Oryzias latipes: one gene and its partner. The main gene of each other region encodes a partner of the protein of the gene in region 2 in a complex. Links are inferred from orthologs where the notes say so. Each region holds a gene or a part of one and is shown on either strand. Other genes may lie near its edges.

Region 1 (4,313 bases), on a different chromosome or scaffold from region 2:
CTTATAAATATGAGGGGCTCTGCGAGTTTCTGCTGCTGCCCAAGGAGAAGGCACTATGGCTCCTTTGGTAAAAAACTTTATTCAGCAAGACAAAAGACATGAGTAAATCAGTAAATTGTCAACAAGACTTCTACTGAATTATTGCAATTTTAAAAAAAGATTGCTTTTAAAGTCCAAAACCTGCTCAATAGCACTCTGAAATTTTTCTTCAACATCAGAATCGGTCCTGAAATATAATAAGAAAATAATTTAGGTATTTAGATCTGCACAATAAATCACAGAGCTATCGCCATCTTGTTATCAGCCTGTGCAGTATGCGTATCGCAGAAGACAGTGCAATAAATCATACCATAAATGTTTACACACATGCCTAAACAATCTTATGGCAGCTTGAAGTGTTTCAAATTCAAAATAGCCTGTTAAGCTTTTGACTAATTGGATGGAGCCCTTTTATGTTAGATGCTTCCCTCCTATCAGGTAAAAGATCATTTGGAGTATAAATCAAGTTATACTGACTTTTATTTTGATAAAACTGTTGCAGTGAAATGAAAAAGATGTATTAGTTGTTTCATGTTTTACTTTGGGTTCATGTATCGTAAGTCACATCGTCATCGCAATATTGATCACCAATATCGCGAGTTTTCCTGATATCGTGCAGCCTTAGTTTAATTACAGTTTGTAATTTGCCAAATATTTAAGACTGGAATGCAATCAAAGATTTGCCACTGTTAACAAAATAAGGGATTCAGGACACACCTTGTCTGGCTGAGGTAAAAAGACTGTCGCTGGATTTCTTCTGGGTCTATGTGCACTGGGAGAAGGCTGGCCATTTCATCAATAGACCAGTTAAATCTTGGAGGGGTCTACAGAAAAGACAAGATATGAGACAAAACTACACAGCAGCCTTAAGACACATTTCTCGAAGTAAAAATTGCAAAACACACTTGCAAAAACCGGTTTCAGCTTGACTGTGTAAATAATATTCAATTTTAGTATAAGTTGTGGGTAAGAAATTAAACTTACAGCTTTACAGGACTTGGATTTAAAAACAGATGGGCTTGGAACCAAGGGTTCCCGGAGATGGTGGTAATCATTTGGACTCTCAAAGGGGTTTCTTATGGAAGGCCTGCCCGGAGTCTCTGGAGTTATCTCTAGCTCGATACGGTCCCCCATCCTGGCTGAAAATTCAAATTCAAGTTATAAAGAAAATGTATTACAAAGTACACTTAAAAACATTTTAAGTGTAAACCAACATGTATTTTTTTTACTCGATCCGTTAGCTAGCTGTGATGTTAGCTTGCAAGGAAAACAACAGTTTTAAAATCAGTTCAAAAACAACATAACACCCATAATTTAATCCTTACCGACACTGACTATGTAATTGTTTTCCGCCCCTGGTACTTACATGTTTTATCTGACTTGGACTGTAAAGCGACTAAATCAAGAGAAAGTCTTCCCCTGTCGACTCCACAGTGGTATTAGGAAGAGAACAATTCAAACGTTTATTTCAATTTCGTCCACGGAGCCAGCCAACCAATAGAATCGTTACAGAAAGTTGTTGAGGACCAATAGCGACATCTGTGTCGTCATTTCCGCTGCTAGTTTGCGGACGGTGCATCAACTTTGATGCAAGCTAAATGCTAATGCGGCATTTTATCGTATGTCAGAATCCGAGTAAAGCAAATATGAGATATTTTAAACGCGGCCGTGTTGTTTAATTGAATTGTTTTCATCAACGTTTTATCAGGGTAACATATAAGCTGTTGTGTATCTGCTAGCAAGTTCTAGCTAGCTAACTAGCGTCATCGTAATGGCAAGTGCAGCTAATGCTAACCTGAACGCAGTCCGGGAGACTATGGACGGTAAATATTTTAACTTGTGTGCACATATTAGCATATTTAATAAGAATTTCAAGATTATCATTAAATCATTCTATTAATTTTAAACTTTTCGCTTTTCCTGAACAGTTCTGCTAGAGATTTCAAGACTGCTAAACACTGGTTTGGATATGGAGTCCTTGTCCATTTGTGTGAGGCTGTGTGAGCAAGGCATCAACCCTGAAGCTCTGTCTGCTGTCATCAAGGAGCTCCGAAAAGCTTCAGAGTCTCTGAAGGTAGAAGAGAAACTACCACATCTCATTACAGACCAAAACTTATGTCCGTGTTTTTTTCTTCTTTTAGTGTTATCGCGAGTTCTATAACCATTTGGAAACCATTTGTTAAGCTTGAGTGTCATTGTTTTTTTATTTTTACATTAAAGTCTGTAATGATAAACATCATATCAGTGTAAATAGTAGTGATGGGTTGATGATGCTTTAATGAGTTTGACACATCTCCCAAACTGTTGACTCTGACATAGTGTTGCTCCCTCTCTAGTGACCCCTGCAGTAATTCTGAAATCATTGCAGGTAAATAAAATAAGAACGGCATTTTTGGTGTTTTTAACATGTTCTTGTAGCACTTTTTTATGATTGATTACATATAATAGAAAATTAACATTAAAACAGCATTTTTGATTATTTCTTAATTAAGAAACCGGAGAAGTCAAATAATGCAGTTTGAAAAACTTGCAGTTGTGACATAGAAACAACAGCCATTAGGCCAAACTCCCTGCTCTGCTCTAGTCTGATGCCTCCACTGGCAGATGAATAAATTTATGTACATTTTTGTTTTCCTCGTCTGAGCTGGAATCTGGATCAAAGCTGTTCAGGTGGATGGCTCAAATATTGTTCACTATATTTGTTGCACCGCTAGTGTGAGCTTGGGGTTGTCAGGGACTCAGTTAGCGGGAGAGTGTAAACAAGGTGTCGCTCGTCCCATCATTAGAAAATAGAGCTGTGGTATTAAAGTATTTCAGTATTTTGACTTTTATTTAACACAAGTTGTTTGATTGATGCCCACATACTAGTGAATCCTTAAACTTGATTTTTTTTTCTCTTTAGAATATTTTCTACTATTTAAATTTATTAAATATTTTATCATCCTTGCCACATCAACCCAACGATACTCTAAGCTTTAAAGTGTAAACTCAAATATTTTAATTTATAATATCTTGCTTTTTTTATGTAAAAATGGCTAAACCTGCAACTAAATCTATGAATGAGAAAAGCCGAGGACTGAAAAACATTTGGCGCATACAGATGAATTAATTCTGTTACTAAACGTCCTGAAAACAGATCCTTATGGTTTGTAAATAGAAATATAGACATGAGTTTATTTTTTAAAGAAAATGTAATTAATTAAATTTTCTCTGAGCTTCAGAAAAGCTCAAATATACTTAACATAAGTCCAGCATTCAATTTGCACTTTTACAGAACTGGCTTTGTCTGGTTTTGCAAAGTGCTTTACAGCTTCTTTCCCATTCACATACACACTTGCTGCAAAACCCAATGATCCACATGCCGAAATGAAAGCTGTTAGACTTTTCATCTGGAGTACCTCGTGCGTAAACGTCAAGCCCAACAAGACACCGACATCTAGAGGGACTGGGATCAAACTGTTTTCTGTGTGATTAATAGACTGCCTTGTGTCCCACCTGAGCCACAGCCACACCATTTCAAACAATAAATCATGATGGTTTATTACTTTTTATTTTCAGGTTTCTGAGAATTGCACAACCTGAAGATGGAATCGGAGCCCATCTGTGCAGGACTTTAATAAGATCATCCCCTGTTCCTGGATCTTTACCAGCTTTCCCGCCTCAATCCCAATCATTTTGACAGTGACTCAAATGTTTTCTACTTTTTTCATTTGTTTGTTGTTGTTTAAAAGAAAATGACTTACATTTGTTGTTTTTCAAACACACAAGACACAGATCTGAGCAGCACTGTCAAGTTTAAGCCTTCTTTTGTTTTGTTTTTTCTCTAAGCAGCATGGATGTTGGGTTTGACTGTCAGAATGTTTTATATCAGAAACATGTTGGACATTATATGTTAAAATCTTTATTGATTTTTTTTTTCAATGTATATTATTGCACTATCATTTTTTTTCTTGGTCATTTATTGGCACAAATCTATTTCTGAAGGTCCTGTAAGTTTTCAATGGAATTGTGGGAAATAAAATGTTACCATCAGTGACCACAAGGGGGAGTTCTAGTCTTTGTTCTCAGTATTTATTTAATTGTTGGGATTTTAAAACAAATACCACTTTATATTATTTCTGATTAAAAAAAACTGTAATATACATTTAAAAAAATAATATTTGGCTTTAGTTTCTTTTTTGTACGTGTCATGGTCTAATTTTGGGTCAGCAGTATAACATAATAACCTTATTTGGTTGGATTTTACAACGGAAACAATCTTTCCTGTCAGACCA
Region 2 (3,569 bases):
AGGCGCCTCCTCCTCCCGTAGCGGGTTTACCTGTGAGTGGAGGACCGAGAGGAGCCGGTAGTACTCCTTCAGCTCCTGATGGAGCGCGGCACAGAAGCTCTGAGGCAGACGGAGAGAGGCAGACGGGCGTTAAGGGCGGATACATCCAAGAACAAGGACCACTGATGGAGCCGAAGCACACGCACCTGCCCCACCAACCCGAAGGCCCGGTCCAGGCTCCTGGCGTCCGTGTACTTCCGCACTTTGTTGTGGAGCCAGCCCAGTTCGGCCAGTCTGCTGCTGGTGTCCCTCAGGGATTTGCATAGCACCACCTAGTGAGGAAACGTCAGCTCGAGTCGAGGAGAGTCGTAACAAATACTCTCAAAACGACTTTATGACGTCAACGAGCTGGACTCAATACTAACAGAAATAACAATAATTACATTTATGATACTTTTTTTCATGTCGTGCGTGAGTTGTTTATATTTCCCGAGGTGATGGGATTTTCTGAGACCAACGACTCACAAGCTTTTAGGAGCTTTTAAAATCCAGGAATCAAGCTTGATCTGAGCAGAAGGAAGGACTTTTTTTGCTCAGATCCCGTTTGACCCCGCCCCGTTTTGGGGATGCCTCATCCTCCTAGCCTCTGAATCGACTGTATGGGCTTAGAGAAGTGTCCAAATGAATCGTACGCTCATAAAATAAAAGTTGTTTACAGAAAAGGAAAGAAAAAAAGAACGATTTTTTATTGGGATTAATCTGTTTTGAATATTGTTTTGGATATATTAACCACCTTTGATTACTGTCAAAAACAGTAATTGGTAGTATTTTCATTTTCTAGCATTCCTTTTACTATTAATGGTTTGTTACAGGGCTTATATCACACACTATAAAAGTTTTACATTTTGAGTGATAGATCAAATAAGGCACTAAAGGTTGCGTTTGGTTTGCTCAAGAGTGCAAAGCTCCGTCTCTGAAGTGTCATCAAGATGACGATTGTTTTTTTTTTTTACCTTCTGAAGGAAAAGGTGCATTAAATTTTCATGTCCTGAAGGACAGCTTTTGTGTGAAGACTAAAAAAAACAACTAAAAACATCCCATTATCTCTATTCCTGCCTCGTTTATCTTGGTCTGGTGGAGCACTGAGTCTATGTTTAGGAGAAAATACTCCTCATTGATGAAACCACAAAGGCAAAAAACGGCATCTTTTATCCAGAGAGCTTCACATCGATCCGGTAAAGTGCAGCCCCCACCCCTCTGCTGGCTGCGGCCGTCAGTACCTTGCTGTCGATTTTGTAGCAGTTCTCCTGGACGTTCATCTTGATGAACTTCCCGTCGATTCCCTGGAAGACGTACAGGATGTCCCGCACCAGCGCAGCCTCGTGGACCTCACCTGGTGGACAGGTCACTCAATCATCATCTCCAAAAAAACCCACCTTAGAAATGGGGTTTACTTTGTAAAGCTTAATAAATATTCAAATTAAACTTTTTCCAAACATTTTTTTTTTTAGGTTTCCTTGAAAAGCTGCAAGTGATGAATTTTAAAGAAGAAGAAGAAAAATCCTCTGACTTTTATTAATTTTACCTGGAAAATTATCCTTTCTGTTCATTAAAACAGGAAGTGTTGGGTTGTTGTGCTTTTATTGTGAAAGCTGGACGTCTAAAGAAGAGGATGAGCTTTTATTTTATTTATAGATTTATTCTAAAAGTTCACATTTGATGGATTAACGATAGAAACAGGATAAAAATCATGATTTGTATTAGAGAACATAAAAAATAAACACAAGTTTAAATGAAACAAAGGACATTTTTAACAGTTTGTTTGCTTTAAAATATATTTAGCAGAAAATGTCTTCATTTTATTCATTTGAGCTTATGTTTCCTAATTTAGAAAGTTACATGTTTCTACACTGCATTATTTATTTCTGTAAATAAGTGGCTTTAATGTAAACATTTCTGTATCTATTTATAAATACAATAAAAGATTTTATTAACACATTTTACTAGAATGTTTTTCAATATTTGCATTCTCTGACCTCCATGAAATTTATTATTATTTTTTTTTACAATTTAAAGCCCATGAATCAATTTTTATTGATTGTTTCTAATATTTCTGTAGCAGAAATTATTTTTCTTAGAGTTTTTTTTATTAAAATAGTTAAACATTTTGTGGGAAATGTATTATTTTTTCATTAAAGTCCCTAATAAATGATTAAATCTGAAAATCGTGGCTTCATGAATCCGATTTACACTGCGGAGCGTGTCCGCATCGCTCACCAGTCAGATCGGCGTCTTGGCGAGGACGGATCACTCTGGCCGTCGGCACCGGAGGTCCGAGGGGAAGTCGGGCGCTGGGCGGGGCCAATGCAGAAGGGGAGGAGCTTATGGGAAGAGCCCAGGCTAACCGTGAGCCCAGAGTTGGAGCAGCTCCAGCGGCAGACGGAGGCACCTGACTGAAACATAGAAACAAAAAAACCAACACATCACTTGAAGGAAGTGCGCTGCAGACACACAACACAATAAGACAACCCGATGAAAACGACATCCAAATGTAGCATTTCTTTATTCAAAGTCACTGAACGGGGCTGTCAGACAGAAAAATATCCTCGGATGAAACCTGAAAGAGCAGGAAAAAGAACAAATAAAAATAATAAAAAAGGCTCTTTTAGAGTTTCAGAAAAAGTTTAACAGAAAAAAAAATCCAAATTAAAATATTTCTTAACCTAAACCTGAAAAAATGCGAGAAAAGAAACTCTTGGACTAAAAGAGCTTCTAAAACCGCAGCTTTTTTGCAAAAAGAAAAAAAAAAAAGACCAAAACTGGAAAAACTTCAATAAAACTACAGTACTACTAATTTATTTGATTTCCTTCTTTTTTAACTTCTTCTTCTCCTGTTTTATTTACTTCATTTCATCTTCACTCATCTTTCTGGAACCAGAAAAGTCTGGTTCATGTTTGTCACGGATGTTATCAAATTGATGGTTTCAACTGTAAACTAACTTCTTATTCTGGTTTTATTCAGTTTGCATCCAGAAAACTGACATGAAAAACTGCATTAGTGCAAATCAACCAGCTTTCTGCACTTTGTGCATATGTAGCTATAAAAACTCAGAAACAGCCTTAAATGGCGGCTAAAACAGCCTTTTTACGGGTCGGTTCATCTGCTGCTGCTAGCTTCATCGCTGTGGGTTTTATTAGACCACAGACTAACGAGTTTGTTCTCCTAAAAGCCACGGCCACGCCACGCAGTAAGTAAGTAAATCTTTATTTATATAGCCCTTTTCTCAGATTCACAAAGTGCTTCACAACTTAAAACAATAGAAATCACAAAAAAAGCAGCGGAAAAGTGAGAGTCGTCCTTGCAAAGTACAATGTTATTTTCTACCGCTTTGTGCGCCTCCTTTCTGCCCCCTCTGTGTGAACGGACCAGAGAGCTTACCCCCCCAGCAGCGACTGTGGCGTGGGGCCGTTCAGCGTGTACACCCCCAAGCTGGAAATCCCGCTGGTCCCGACGCTCCCCACCAGGGCGGCGGTCCGTTCCCCGTGACCCAGCGACAGGCTCTGGGGCCGAGTGCAGTAAAACGGGGTGG

The links.
Region 1: the proteins of tubgcp3 (region 2) and mzt1 are in contact, whole or in part, in a cryo-EM structure (PDB 7QJD), measured with the Homo sapiens proteins. The link is inferred for Oryzias latipes from reciprocal best matches to the Homo sapiens genes TUBGCP3 and MZT1. Residues at the interface, in NP_006313.1 of Homo sapiens: Lys7, Pro9, Leu12, Leu13, Asn15, Leu16, Cys17, Arg19, Ile20, Leu21, Arg23, Val28, Gln31, Tyr34, Ala35, Val38, Ile39, Asn42, Phe43, Ala44, Pro45, Thr46, Ile58, Leu62, Arg67, Asp70, Phe74, Leu77, Lys80, Leu81; in NP_001065243.1 of Homo sapiens: Asn17, Ala20, Val21, Glu23, Thr24, Val27, Leu28, Glu30, Ile31, Ser32, Arg33, Ile34, Leu35, Asn36, Thr37, Leu39, Asp40, Glu42, Thr43, Ile46, Cys47, Val48, Arg49, Leu50, Cys51, Glu52, Gln53, Gly54, Ile55, Asn56.

Annotation. Positions count from the first base shown.
Region 1 is NC_019873.2:18,606,391-18,610,703, reverse strand, and holds mzt1 (mitotic-spindle organizing protein 1), read left to right. Parts: upstream 1-1,509; 5' UTR 1,510-1,810; coding exon 1,811-1,862; intron 1,863-1,967; coding exon 1,968-2,113; intron 2,114-3,597; coding exon 3,598-3,621; 3' UTR 3,622-4,081; downstream 4,082-4,313. Other genes in the region: bora (protein aurora borealis), read right to left, coding at 1-75, 181-226, 757-863, 1,024-1,173. UniProt on the Homo sapiens protein: Required for the recruitment and the assembly of the gamma-tubulin ring complex (gTuRC) at the centrosome.
Region 2 is NC_019860.2:22,840,265-22,843,833, forward strand, and holds part of tubgcp3 (gamma-tubulin complex component 3), read right to left. Parts: coding exon 3,419-3,569; intron 2,433-3,418; coding exon 2,257-2,432; intron 1,373-2,256; coding exon 1,260-1,372; intron 312-1,259; coding exon 186-311; intron 100-185; coding exon 1-99. UniProt on the Homo sapiens protein: Component of the gamma-tubulin ring complex (gTuRC) which mediates microtubule nucleation.